Mytilus edulis: one gene and its partner. The protein of the gene in region 1 purifies or fractionates together with the protein of each later gene. This does not show direct contact. Links are inferred from orthologs where the notes say so. Each region holds a gene or a part of one and is shown on either strand. Other genes may lie near its edges.

Region 1 (7,301 bases):
TGTATTTAGAACTGGGACATCAAGTCATGCTTTTATTTTAACTGCATGTTTATTCATGACTGTATTTTACACAAAACGCTTTAAAAAGAATTCTTTATAAAATAGAATTGCTTGAATGAAAATATTTCAAAAATAATAACAAATATTTCTAATCACAAGGTAGTCCAGAAAAGAACATATGTATTTCCTCATTTTGAAGTGTCTTGTCATGTTTAGATAATACATTGATGATAACAAGACTTAAAAAAGTATACTTTGTACTTATGTTTAAAATTAAAGTATACTGTTTTGTATTAACACGTTGATAGTAAAAACAATTCTTTCCTGCTTCGGTCCATTTACTTTTTGGGGATACGGTCCATATACTGTCATAAGACTTTCAGTGTTTTGAATCATTTGTGTCTTATTTTACTTTTAAGTTTGTGTTTGTTTTTATCATACTGTTACTGTAAGACATAATAGTGTCCTATGAAAAAGTGTCCACATGGACACTTTTTCATTGAAATTTTGTATTTAATAATGTCCATTGCCATGGAATGGTGTCCCTCAAAAGGACAGATTTTTACTGATAACAATATGAAATAGTGTCCACTCAAAGGACAAATTTTCATAGTAGTTGCTATTAAATTGTGTCCTCCAAGGGAAGTAATACAAAGGACATTACAAAGTTTTATTATACTTGAATTTTAATTAGAATATGAAGGATTTATGAGAAATTGATCAATATACAAATGTAAACAAATAAATAATGGATGGAAGTGAATATAGAGAAATTTAAGTTCTAAGAAATTCCCAGCAAATGGTTATGACAATGAAAGAATAACAATAAGAAGGAAGTGTACATCAAATATGAAGAACTTTATTATATTTATTATGTCAATTTATGTCAAAGAAGAAGGCAATAGAAAATAAATAATGTCTATTGCCATGAAATATTGTCTCCTAAGTGGACAGCATTTTACAGCAACAGTTATGAAATATGGTCCATCTGCAGAACAAATTTTCGTAGTGAATGTTATTAAATTGTGTCCTCAAAGGAAAATAAAATGGAACAGGATCTAACATATATAAGTATATTATAAAATATAGATATGTAGATAAGGATGGTATGAGTGCAAAACGAGACAATTTTTATGTCCAAGTAACAATTAATTCAAGTTCGTAATTAAAGTTAAAATGCGTCCAGTAATAACAAGGCAATGGATATCCTTTAATACTTTAATAATATTAACAAATGCCCTTACGGACACAATGTCCTGTGAAAAAAATGTCCACCTGGACAATATTATGGTAGTGAATAATGTGCATGTTCATGGACACTTTTTCATACCTGAGGACATGTTTTCATAGGAAATTGTGTCCAGGACACATTTAAATAAGTAAATATTGTCAAAATGTGTCCGGTGGACATTTTTTCATGGAGGACATTATTAAATCCTACATTACCACTCGGTTGTATGCCTTTTTGAAACGAATTCAATAACAAAGGGGGGTAATAAGCCTGACTTAAGTCAGGAGCCTTGTCATTTGTTATATACTATTTTGAATTATTTTGGAGAATTAATTAAGGTAATGATGGCATTTCTTTGATGTTCTCTGACAATATTGCTCTTAAGTTAATGCTCACTTTGTAATTTGGTTATTCTCTGTTGTTGAGTTGCCATTTCATTAACTTATACACAGTGCTTGTGTGAATTCAACCTATCCTTTTATGCATATTAGTTTTTTTTTTCAATTTAATTGAGACCCGTATTCATCAGACCATTGATCAAACGAGATTTTTACATTATAGATATAATAAGATGTGATATGAGTGCCAATGAAACAACTCTCCATCCAAGTCACAATTATGAAAGTAAACCATTATAATAGGTCAAGGTACGGTATTCAACACGGTGCCTAGGCTCACACCGAACAGCAAGCTATAAAGGCATTATGTATGTCTAAATTCTCCGCGGCTAGAAAACCGATAAACTATTATTATTTAAACTTAATATTTTAAGTTTATATGGCAATACAAATTTGATTTGATTTGAATTATATTCATGAGTTTAAGAATAATGTTTAAAATAGAAATACAATAAAAAGAGTAAAGCGGTACTGTTAAAAGTAAGAATGTATATAATAACTTTGATATACAACTCGTCTAAACATCAACCCAACAATGTTAGATCTGTAAATTTGCTTTCGCAAACTTTTGGTTCTTCCCTCGCCGGGATTCGAACCCATGCTACTGTGATATCGTGACACCAAATCGCCTGCACTGCAGCCGTCCCGCTAGTCCTTAATTGTTATAAATGTGAACATAATAATAAGAACCTTTTGACAATAAATACAAATGCTTCCACTAGAACATACATCTTCGAAAAAGAACCAGCAAATTGCATAAACAGCTCTAAGAACGATCTCAAATTATATCAAACACCCAAATACACATCCATGGTGTTAGTACTGGCTTTAATTGACTATTCAGGCAAAACCTATATCAAACAGAAGTCAACACTGGACTTTTCGACAATATGCAAAAGGTGTTTATGATTAGTCGTTATTAAGATGGTGACTCCAGCAATGACATATATAAGGGTCGGTCGTCGTATGGACATGCTGCTACTCATTCCGGCTCCCTTTTATCTTTTTCTCGCGTGTTTCTAGGAATATTATTTCTTTCCGCATTTTACCTCAAGTTTTGTATTATTCTGTTTATGGTGTTTGTTAAATAAAATTTGAACTTTATTTTTGGTAAAAATTAAAATCTTCCAAGTTTATGCCACCGTCCGTGAATTATATCTATAAATTGTTTATTCAGAATCAAGTTTGACATCACGTAAACGTGAATTATCTATCTATAAATATTATATACATTATGTCAATGATATGTACAACACCAGGTGAAATGATTACCTATCAAATTATCTTTTATGTTTCATTTTTTATCAGAGCAAGTTTTACAAACTGTTTATTTGTTTATCTCCTTACATGACCAACTATCATGTCAATTACCATTGACGTAGAGTCTAAGGACCGATCGATGTCTGAAGAGTTCATAATAACAATGCTCTAGTTATATACATATTGCATATTGCAATTAACGAGTCTGGAGATCAAATGTTGTGCGTTTTCTAGTAAGCAAGTTTTGTTTGCTTGTGAAAAAAACCCTGTAAACTTAAATTTAAGAAACAGACTTTGACGATGTATGTCATTATTTTTTAAAGGGTTTATTTCGTTTATAACATCCCCAAACATTTGAGAAAATGGGCATATGTATATGCATGTACAAATATTCTGTGAACCTGAAAATAAAATCTATCAAAACTGTAAAAAATAGATTCTGACAGAAACTAGATAAATGATTTTCGTTTTCGTTTTGTTTCATTTCATTTTGAACTAAACTTTTTTTTAAATTTAATTATTAGAATGTGCATCTTCGTCCAGTTAGTCTGAACTCAAAGACTAAGGTGTACATGAGAATTGCTGGATAGCTTGACACTATAAATTATAAATTATGAAGAAACAAAAAAGAAAACACTGCATTAACGAATATTGTTAAAGGTTTGAAGTCAGATTTATTAAAACTTAAAATGAGTTCTGTACTGGACGGAATTGTTTATCTCCACTGAACATTTCTCGCTGCTTTGGCATGAGACTTCGGCTGTTGTCTCAGTGCTCTTTGGTCGGATTGTTGTTTATATGAAATATACCCCATTTACATTCTCAATATATAATAAGTTTACTCTGAGACTATTTATCTATAGATCACGTAATAAGATCTAAGTCAATCTAACTAGAACTGCGGCTACAATAACTTTTTAATAAATATAAACAAGAAGATGTGGTATGATTGCCAATGAGACAACACTCCACAAGAGACCAAAATGTCACATAAATTAACAACTATAGGCCACTGTAAATCAATATATTATGTCCCAGCTGTTATCATATAATCAAGTTACGTAATGATTTGTGCTAATTTTTCATATATTATTATTCAAATTAATTTCATTTAAGGGGAGTAAGAACTGGTGAGAAACTGGTGAGAAATTATTCCAACGACAAGTGTACAAAGGGAAATAACTCATTTTTCCAAATCCGGATATCCTTAACAGTCAACGAACACAATTTAGAATGTGAAAATGGCTGCGCCCATGAAAACACAATATTTTTATTGGATTTTATCTCAAACTTAAAATAACACCATCTTTGACTAAGTGTCATCAAATGCCTGACTTAAAAATTAACTAGGAGAGGAAAGTTTAAGTAAATAATTTTATAATTCATCGTCAGTACATTTAAATCTGATAAGTTCAGCCTTTTTTCAACTGAATGTTATTTTTACCGTGTGTTCTTGTACTGTAGTTGTGCTGTTCTTAGTCCAAATAATTATGACATCTTGAAAGGCTATTATAATTTTTTTCTTTGACGCCTAAGCATTATGACGTCGAAGTAAGGCGTCAAAGAAAAAAAATATAATAGCCTTTCAAGACGTCATAATTATTTGGACTATGCTGTTCTATGAGTAACACAGCCTTCATGCTGAGTGGCAGCCCAGGCAGCCCAGGCTAGTAAAATTGCTCTCGGGCCTGTAAAAATCTAGTCCAAATAATTATGACGTCTGGCAAGGCTATTTTAATTTTTTTCTGGGACGCCTTCCTACAAGGCGTCCCAGAAAAATAATAAAATAGCCTTGCCAGACGTCATAATTATTTGGACTAGTAAAAATCATATCTTCAGGCAAACAGAATCTAACTAAAAATTTTCAAAAATTGAGCTCCGGGCCTGTAGTAGTGTAGATTTAAAAGTTTGTCGTGAAGACTGGTAACATACATTTTCATCCTGTAATAGTCTTAATGAGCTCGTCCTAAGTCAAGAGCCTTTTAATTAGTGGATGTCATTGTTTGCTGTCTGGCATATTCTTAGACTTAAGTATTTTATTTTGTGTTTTTGAGTTAAAATGTAGCTTAAATATAGAACTTAAAACTGACAACAGTTGTATGGGTTCACACATCTCTTTAATTCGTACATGCACAATATTGACATTATTCACACACAGTCCTTTCATTGTACAACGTTGTACATATTGTTTATAGGCATTGTCTGCGCGTACCCGCATGCGGGTACGAATAATCAAATTGCCATTTAGGCTGCGCGTACCTGCATACGATTTTCTACTAAAATGCCATAGGATTGGGAATGAAACGTGAAATATATACGGAAGTTATCGATAATATGGGAATTTCGTGTAGAAAGAGTGAAGAGTATGAAAAATAATATTTTCAAATTGTATTTATTAAATAATGATACATAATAAACAGTGCAAAATTAAATTCACAATGATGGAAAATGTAGTCCCTGTAAAAGAAAAACATGATAGAAATTAATACCTGAATACTATTCAGTTTAAAATTTAAATGAAAATTTAACAAATAAAATTTTAATAATTTAAACATTTTAAAGAAATGCCCATAGGATATTTTAAAATAATCTTTAAGTAAAATGTAAAACAGAAACTGAAATTTTAAAATATATAAAACTAAAATTAAAGCTTGAGTTTATACAAATTAAAGAAGCAAAAATATGATTGTTTTGGCCTGAGACTACTATAACACATAGTAGTCTCAGTTTTGGCACAGATTTCAACCCTGCACATTTCAAATGTTGCCAGTCTAAACAGCAATCTCAGGCCAAAGAGTCCTGATTGTGTAGTTTTTTTTCTCACTTTATACATATCCAGTCGTATGTTTTCCTTCTTACGGTGATCTTAATTTTTAGTTGTTTATTCTGTTGTACTTTATATCTTCTTTAATTTTTGTGCTGCCTGTCAATTCTATGAAATTTAATGCCTGATAAATGTAGTTCTGTACAAATTTTTCTAGTTCATGATAAGTCTGAAATGTCTTCCCCACAGTTATAATATCACTCTCTTCCATTTTAAGAATATTTTCTAACTGAGAAAAAACTATTCACTTACTTATATACAAAATGTATATTATATATATATACAGTCCGCCAAAAGTTAAGCACCACCTACTTTTATTGCATCGATTTTTTTTCAAATTTAAAAAATCAATTGTTCCTCGAAAAATAGAAAACAATCATATAGCAATTTTGCTAATGTATACCATAAACAAACCACAAATATAATTTTGGTCACTTATGAAGGTTCTATGCATATAGGTTTTTCGTTCATAGAAATAGTGTAAATTACACAATTAAGAAATGGAATTTAAGTTTCACTGTGATTTTATTTTTTTACAACAATTAATCACCCAATACCATTAAAATTTTCTACACATAATCTTTGGTATGTTTGGCAAATTTAATGTCAATATTTGAGTCAATAGCATGTGTAACAACCTCATTTCCGGTACAGTTTCATAACACGACCTATCTTTCTCGGTACAAGCCTTCAAAACTTTAGTTGAGGAAATCTGTTGCATTAAACAACAAATGCCACTTTTAAATCGACAAACTTTTGTGAAGGTGAATCTCTGCGATTGAGATTTCCGACAATGGCATCTCAGACATGTTTGATAGGGTTCATGCATGGAGTCAAGGAAGGCCAAAAATTAGTGTAAATGACTGGTTGCTCTTTGGACTCGGTTAAAATTCTTGCCCTGCGTGGTATAGCGTTGTCATTCAGGTACAAGTGTCTTGACAATGTTGACGCAAGTGGGGGATTACTAAAATGACGGACTACAATATGTTAAGGCACCAAATCTCTGTATGTCTGTCCGTTTATGTTACCCTGCAGAATATGCATACCCAGCTTATAACGGTATAAGAAGCAACCCCGTACTGGAACACAACCAGCAATGCATGCAGTCCTTGTGCAAATATTGTTTTTGGTCATAGGCCGTTTTTTTCTCCTGCGAAATTCGTATTATGGCGTCTTCTGGCAGTAAAGGAAACTGACTCCCATCTGACCAATGAGTGTTTTGTCAGGTTCTTATGTTCAAGCATAGATGTTCATTATCCCATTTAAACCTGACGGTAGAGTGCCTGCTTGAAGGTACAGGTCTCTATACACCACGACGTGCTCTTCGTTTGCCTCTATAAAGTCGACGGACCAATGTACGAACACTTACACGACCACCTGGAGAAACAGTGTATAAATTTATAAACGCACATATGACCTTTGATAAAAGGTTGGTTGACTGCTTTATCGGAGTGCAATCTTTTTGGTTGTAATGAATTTTTTTAGTGTATGTTAAAGGTAATTCATAACACCAAACATTAATATTTTTTTTGCAATAGTTAAAAAAATATTGCCAGTTATATTTCGGTGGTGCTTAACTTTTGGCGGA
Region 2 (7,772 bases), on another chromosome or scaffold:
ATACCCCATAGTCAACAAATCCCAAAGTGAGTGTCTGATAACGCTCTAAAATGTCCTCGGCTGAAAATTGTCATTGTCTCATTGGCAATCATACCACATCTTCTTTTTTATATTTGAATTGAAGACTTATATACATCTCTGATTACTTAAATTCAGTTTGAGCCATTGTAACAGGTGAGCTATGTGGAGAGCTGTCTCATTGGCAATCATACCACATCTTCTTTTTTTACGTGGATGTTAAATGTGCATTGGTTGAAAAATGGGCAAGTAAGATTAAAACCAAGAAAATCAGGAAAGATCAAAATGATATGTTTATTTTCCTCATCAGGAGATTAAACATTGGAAGAATTGTGAAACAAGAATGGAAATATTCATGTTAAGACGAATTAAGTACATGTATGATGGAAAAACTACTAGCAGTCATAATTTAAGAAGTTCTTTCGAAATTCTGATACATTCAAGTAGCAACAGACTAATCCTCTAGGAATGTACGAATAATTTCCTCCTTTGTCATGTTTTTGGAGCATTCACATTTTCTGCGGCATACAATACAACACTTGCACTTAACACAACTGCAGGAATGGCAGTTTTCAGCGCAGTTGAAATCATTACAGGGGAGTAACTGTCTGCACATTCCATCCAATAAAAAGTGTCTTAAAATGTATGAACGCTGGCATTGTTCAGTTTCAACAAGAGATCTCAGATACTCCCGGCTGCTACATGTACATTGAAATTTCCTGTTAGTTCTGCATGTATCACATGGTTTTGACACACTCCTCTTGAACGCATAGCATAACATAAGTCCGAAGCTGCCATCACGGACACATCTGCCAGTTTCCTGCCACAGTAAAAGAAGTGTTGATGGCAACCCCCACAAAACTACTAATTTAATGTTGGGTATATTAACACCCATTCCACAGGCAACTGTTGCAACCAAAACACGTATAGTACTGTCTATCGATATAAATTGGTCCATAATTCTTTGTTTAGATTCCTCATCTGTGTGAGCATGGTACATTTCAACCATGCGGTTCTGAATGACAGATTCCCCATTATAGGCTGCAGACTTTAACTCTGAGTGAATCCATATATATAAGGTTTCACACATAGCAATAGAGTTCACATATATGATGGTCTTTTCGAACTTGTCTTTCTTATGTTTTATACCTTCCAAAATCCATTTAAGTTCTTCTTCATGATGTTCGGATGACTTGTCCGTGCATAAAAATATGTTCGATCTGAAATACAGATTAATTTTTAAAACATATATGCAACTTTGGTTTTGGCATCATAGTAGGTCCAGTAAGGACCAATTTTGGCCTCAAATTTCAGGTTCATCTGACAAGATTTTGACCACTTTTTAACATGAAACCTGTCTAAAAATTAACTGAAATGCTAGAATTGTGAAGATTTCTGTAATTTAGCATGACTTTAAGGTGCTATTACCCGATTTATGTTTATTGTATAGTGAAAAATAACCCATATTTATACATAGCAGAAGCATTCTACTGTTCAATAAATAACTAAAAGTTTACATTTTGTAAAACTGCTATATTTTGGGGCCAAAAAGGGCTCCTGGACCTACTCCTTTAAGGAAAATGATGAAAAGTTTACCTGTTTTACAACACAGTATGGTATTTGGTGATTTTTAAAGGCTGTAGATAGAGTGCCCTATGGTTGTAATTTTCTGTGTCATTTGGTCTTTTGTGGAAAGCTGTGTCAAAGAAAATCATACCACATCTTCTTTTTTATATTCACACATGACAGTCTGACTTATTAAACAACCGATTTGTTTATCTTTTACAAGATATTTATGCAAACAGTGATTATCTAGGTTCTTTTTAATTTTCTGTGTCATTTGGTCTTTTGTGGAAAGCTGTGTCAAAGAAAATCATACCACATCTTCTTTTTTTAATTGAAAATGCTTATCATACATGTATATTTACCTATCTGGTAATGTTGCAACTACTGTTGTTGAGTGTTGTTGTAGACCTAAAGCTCTGTCAATATCTTTTCTAATGTCATTTGTAATGGTAGCAGATAACACCAGTACTGGAGCTTCAATGATACTTTGAAGGAGACCAACTTTGCCATATTCTGGTCTGAAGTCTAATCCCCTATAAACAAAAAAGAAATGAAACCATTAATTCCCCTTTGATTATTGTGGCTCGTCATATGACAATAAGCTATTCCCATGATTTATTTCTTTAAACTAAATTAATACCATTTTTTATCATAATTGCTAATTGATTAATTGTTGCTTGCTTACAGTCCAGTGGCAAATATATCATTAATGTTCTGGACGATCATGAGTTTTGAAAAAGAAAGTGAAATGAGATGACAATTTGAACCTATCATTAAATCGAAAACAAAAAAGAAATAAGTTTTCATGATGCGTACAAAAGATAAATAAAATTTATCATGTTTTACAAAGAAACAGTATTGCTGAGAAAAAAACATCCACCCCCTTGAAGTTTACAATTAGCTCTTACCATTCAGAGATACAGTGCGCCTCATCATACGCAACTACACATATCCTATCCTTATAGGCCTCGGTGATGACATCACGCCAGAACTTCACCAGTATTGCTTCTGGTGATGCAAACAATATTCTGGCAAGTCCATCTTTAATACCTAAAAAAAAGAAAGATTAAAATTAACATAAAATCAAGAATGATAATTGAAATCTTGTTGATTATTTATCTTTTGATATGGGAGCCTCTGGCCTTTGTTAGTCTTGTATTATTTTAATTTTAGTTTCTTGTGTACAATTTGGAAATTAGTATGGCGTTCATTATGATGGAACTAGTATATATTTGTTTAGGGGCCACCTGAAGGACACCTCAGGGTGCAGGAATTTCTTGCTACATTGAAGACCTGTTGGTGACATTCTGCTGTTGTTTTTTAATTTGGTCGGGTTGTTGTCTCTTTGACACATTCCCCATTTCCATTCTCAATTTTATATCATAAGAGGCACTGAAAAAAGGAACCTAACTGGTTGTAATACCCCTTAGCTTAGTGTCTGTCAAAATACCTGTTGGACTTCAGAGCAATTTAGATTTACCCAAAGCCAGCCTAAACAAACAAACAATCTCTGTTTAGAATTTTGAAAGAAAGGGTAAACTCCAATGTATGGCACTGTACAATGTATGGGTCTTCTAGTTTGCTTTCCTGGATTTGTTGACTATTTATTTCAGTGTGACATTACCCATTTCCAACCTAATTCTATGAACATGATACTTTATTTATCATATATTAAAATACATGTACCTGCTAAATCCTCTTTCTCTGCACCTTCCAACAATCCATATGCTGGAATATTCTGTTCTCTTAAGCTTTTAATTTGGTCCTTCATTAAAGCCTTTAATGGTGAAATGACCAGACTTGTGTGCTTCTTAGAAGGGTCATCCTAAAAAAAGAAAACAAAAACGCCTTCAAAATTTCTATTGTTTTTTCTTTATCATATTTTTTAATTCCATATTTTTATACAGCTGTCGAGCAATTGATTAAAACACCAAAAAAAAAAGGTTTCAGAAGGAGAAAAAAGGGGGGCTACAACATATATGATAGAGCTGTATGTTATTGATTGTTATTGATACTGAGGGGCGACATCAAAAGTGTAATGAAGGATAAATAACTTAATTCACATATTTTCGACCCCCCGCCCCCTTTAAAACTTAATTTGGGAAAAATTGATTGACCTGTAAAATCAATTTTAGATTAACAAAACTTGTATCAATGTTGACCCCCACCAAAACTATTTGATTTCATTTTTTTTATACTACCTACATCGATCTTTTGATGTCGTAACATTTTATATATTTTTTTTTTTAATTTACTCACTTTGTTCAGAACAAGCGGCGGGACTATGTAACACATGCTTTTCCCGTATCCTGTAGGCAAGACTGCTAACGTGTCCTGCTTCTTGAGAACACTATTAATGACTGTTTTCTGCTCCTCTTTCAACTGCAAATTCCCGAGTTCTCTCATCACATCTTCTATGTATCGATCCATTGTTGTTTATGAGAACACCTCGGTTATTTACGATGCAAATGAACTAAATGTCCGAGTATGTTCCGACTGTGATCATGTTTGGCTATGTAGGGTCAAGGTCGAAATTAGCATAAAAATTTGCATACTGAAGTCTCGAGACCACGAACTCCCTCGTAACTTGACGTCCATTTGAAAATGAAAGTCGAAATGCCCAAATGGACATGTCTCTGCGAAAACTGTTTAAATATGGAAAAATAAAGATTGGCAGGTAGGTGAAAGTTACATATTTGGAAAGATAAATGAAAAACGAACAGATTGATGTCCGATTTATATAATTCCAAGGCAGCCAGTCGGCACTAGAAGCGTCGAAGTCGCGCATCTATTTTGGGTGGGCAAATATCCACTTTTTGATATGGGACGAGCTCTGACGTCCCACGGCCCCAGCTTGTCTGGCAAAACAGCCGTCGGACGTCAGAGTAATCTCGGACTAATAATGGCAGTGCATATTTTTAATTTATCATTTTTTTTAATATTAAGATAAAACTATTTACACATGATGAATTTAATGACTGTAGGTGTAGGATGAGACAGTTGCGAGTATAAGTCGTGAATATTATGTATAAATTATATAGTTCCCATGCAACTAAGTAAGTTTTCAAATCGCACGCAAAAATAGATAGAATGACCTAAACGCTAAATAAAATATCCGTGAAAATAAGTTGGTTTACAGTATAAATATATTTGAAAGTAACAACAATGTGTAGGAATTTTGTTCTGTGATTATGGACTTATATACGTATATATATTCTTCTGGCCTGAGTTACCAGTTCTATACGACATATATAGTGAAGGCATATCATACATGTCATAATGCATACAATACAGATGTAGGTTCTGCTATTGTAAATATTCTCTAGTTGATACATGTAGGGTTTGACGACTTACAGAAAAGAGCAAGGATTTAAAGAAGGAAATTAGCAAATTGCAAATCATTTAAAATCTTATACTGTGACAGGACTAATTTTAACTTACATATGAAAAATTACAGGATGGGTATGATACCTACATGTATCTTATAGATTAGAAAAATAAAAAGGAAAAGTTTTTATTCACCAAGTAAGAGCCACTAGGAGGGCATATAGCATACAAACAATAATATCATAAACAATAACATACATGTATGCATAACCATGATAACACAGACAATAGATATGTAACATAAGTAATAAAACAAATACTACATGAAACATGCAACAAAATGATAGCAATACACTATAATTCAATTAATATTCGTCATGTTCGTGTTGGGCCTAAAATAAAATATTGTTTGTTTCCCCAATCCCGACCGACCCTGCAAAATTGGTGCTACTCATAAAATTTTATTGTCAAATCTAAGTCAAATATTATTTTATTCATTTCTGATTTTCAGGCTTGCTTGATCGTCCGATAATGTTAAACTTTTTGGAAAAATAAAATTATTTCCCTACCTACATGTACTTGCCCACACCTGGCTCGGTAGAGTTGGGATTTGGGAAACAAACAATATATTAATCTAGGCCTTGACATTGATGCATGTGTTCCAGGTTCATTAGTGTATTTTACCTATAAAAAGAAAAACAAGAAACATAAGTAGTTCGTGCTGAGAAATATATATACACTGTTACTGTCACATATAAATACATTGAATTACACACAGTTTTGTTTTTTAAAATTTATTAACTGCACGCGTTGCCATTTTACCGCAGTTGTCACGTTTCCTCTGACCCTCAATCCTTCTTTCCTCTCGACCTAGCTTCATTGACCACTCGTCTGCCATCTGTTGACTTAACCAATTTGGTCTTAATACTGTATCGACGGAACCTGGCAAAATATTTGTACCTTTCCATTAAAGTTTTGTTTGCCCAAACATGCCTGGCAATCTTAACTTTGAAATGTTCGTGTGTGCTCGCAAGCGTATAAGGTTCTCTCCCTATCACTGCTCTTCGTCAATCTTTATAATTCGCCTCTACCAAATCTCATCTTTATCACGAAGTCAACTAAAGACTGAGGCTTCCAATTGACAGCTATCTTAACAATTAGTCAGTGATTCTACATAATCCCTAATTATACAAATTCACTGTAACATATTCACATTGTTTAAACATTATACATATGTGTATGTACATGTATCCTCTTTTCGGTTCTTTTCAGTCCTTTTCAGTTCTTTTTGGTCCTTTTCGGTTCTTTTCAGTTCTTTTCTGTAAATGGTCGCTCTTTTCTGTAAATTATTGGACCGTACATGTACTGTAAATTCAGAAATTGTTGTGATGTTTTTATTAATGCGAAAAATGAGACAGGGTTATCATCTCAATAATATAATCTTGCATTTTGAAATGTTTTATGTGAATTAAACAGGATGATTTTTCAATATCACAAAAATTAAAATTGCATTTTAGTCTTTAAATGACAAAATCACAATAATAAATGCATGCAAAAATTTCTGAATTTAAAGTACAGCTTAATTACAATGAATTATAAGCTACTACAAAAATTAAAGAGAACAATTATGACATTATATTAACATGTCAATCATTGTCAATCTTTTGTTTGTAGAAAAATAATAAACAATGCGATTCAAATGGGCTCCACAGGCAGCAAGATTGTTGAATGGAGTGTTTTGTGTATACAAACCAGAAGGAATGTCAGAGAAAGTTCTTAGACAGAAAATACAAGCCAATTTAGCTAGAGGTAATGAGTAGAGATGAAGTGTTTTTAGCTCACCTGGCCCTTTTCTCATCACTTGGCGTCCGTCGTCGTCCGTCTTCCTGCGTCCGTCGTCGTAAACTTTTACAAAAATCTTCTCCTTTGAAACTGCTGGGCAAAATTTAACCAAACATGGCCAAAATCATTATTAGGGTATCTAGTTTAAAAATTGTGTCCGGTGACCCAGCCAACCAACCAAGATGGCCACCATGGCTAAAAATAGAACATAGGGGTAAAATGCAGTTTTTGGCTTATAACTCAAAAACCAAAGCATTTAGAGCAAATCTGACATCGAGTAAAATTGTTAATCAGGTCAAGATCTATCTGTTCTAAAATTTTCAGATGAATCAGACAACCCGTTGATAGGTTACTGCCCCTGAATTGGAAATTTAAAGGAAATTTTGCTGTTTTTTGTTATTATCTTGAATATTATTATAGATAGAGATAAACTGTAAACGGCAAAAATGTTCAGCAAAGTGGGATCTACAAATAAGTCAACAAGATCAAAATGGTCTGTTGATCCCTTTAGGAGTTATTGCCCTTTATAGTCAATTTTTAACCATTTTTCGTAAATCTTAGTCATCTTTTACAAAAATCTTCTCCTCTGAAACTACTGGGCCAAATTAAACCAAACTTGGCCACAATTATCATTGGGGTATCTAGTTTATAAAAATTGTGTCCGGTGACCCCACCAACCAACCAAGATGGCCGTCATGGCTAAAAATAGAACATAGGGGTGAAATGTAGATTTTGGCTTATAACTCTGAAACCGCAGCCTTTAGAGCAAATCTGACAAGGGTTAAAATTGTTTATCAGGTCAAGATTTATCTGCCCTGAAATTTGCAGACGAATCTGACAATCCGTTGTTGGGTTGCTGCCCCTGAATTGGTAATTTTAAGGAAATTTTGCTGTTTTGGGTTATTACAGTATCTTGAATATTATTATAGATAGAGATAAACTGTAAACATCAATAAGGTTCAGCAAAGTAAGATCTACAAATAAGTCAACATGGCGGAAATGGTCAATTGACCCCTAAG

What was found.
Region 2: the proteins of RCC1-like G exchanging factor-like protein (region 1) and pseudouridylate synthase TRUB2, mitochondrial-like purify together in Homo sapiens (affinity purification with mass spectrometry; 3 studies listed by BioGRID and IntAct, with this or other methods). This does not show direct contact. The link is inferred for Mytilus edulis from reciprocal best matches to the Homo sapiens genes RCC1L and TRUB2.

What each region holds. Positions count from the first base shown.
Region 1 is NC_092355.1:44,610,245-44,617,545, reverse strand, and holds the start of RCC1-like G exchanging factor-like protein, read left to right. Parts: upstream 1-4,112; 5' UTR 4,113-4,254; intron 4,255-7,301. UniProt on the Homo sapiens protein: Guanine nucleotide exchange factor (GEF) for mitochondrial dynamin-related GTPase OPA1. Activates OPA1, by exchanging bound GDP for free GTP, and drives OPA1 and MFN1-dependent mitochondrial fusion. Plays an essential role in mitochondrial ribosome biogenesis.
Region 2 is NC_092345.1:79,634,016-79,641,787, reverse strand, and holds the start of pseudouridylate synthase TRUB2, mitochondrial-like, read left to right. Parts: upstream 1-4,483; 5' UTR 4,484-6,599; coding exon 6,600-6,720; intron 6,721-7,772. UniProt on the Homo sapiens protein: Minor enzyme contributing to the isomerization of uridine to pseudouridine (pseudouridylation) of specific mitochondrial mRNAs (mt-mRNAs) such as COXI and COXIII mt-mRNAs.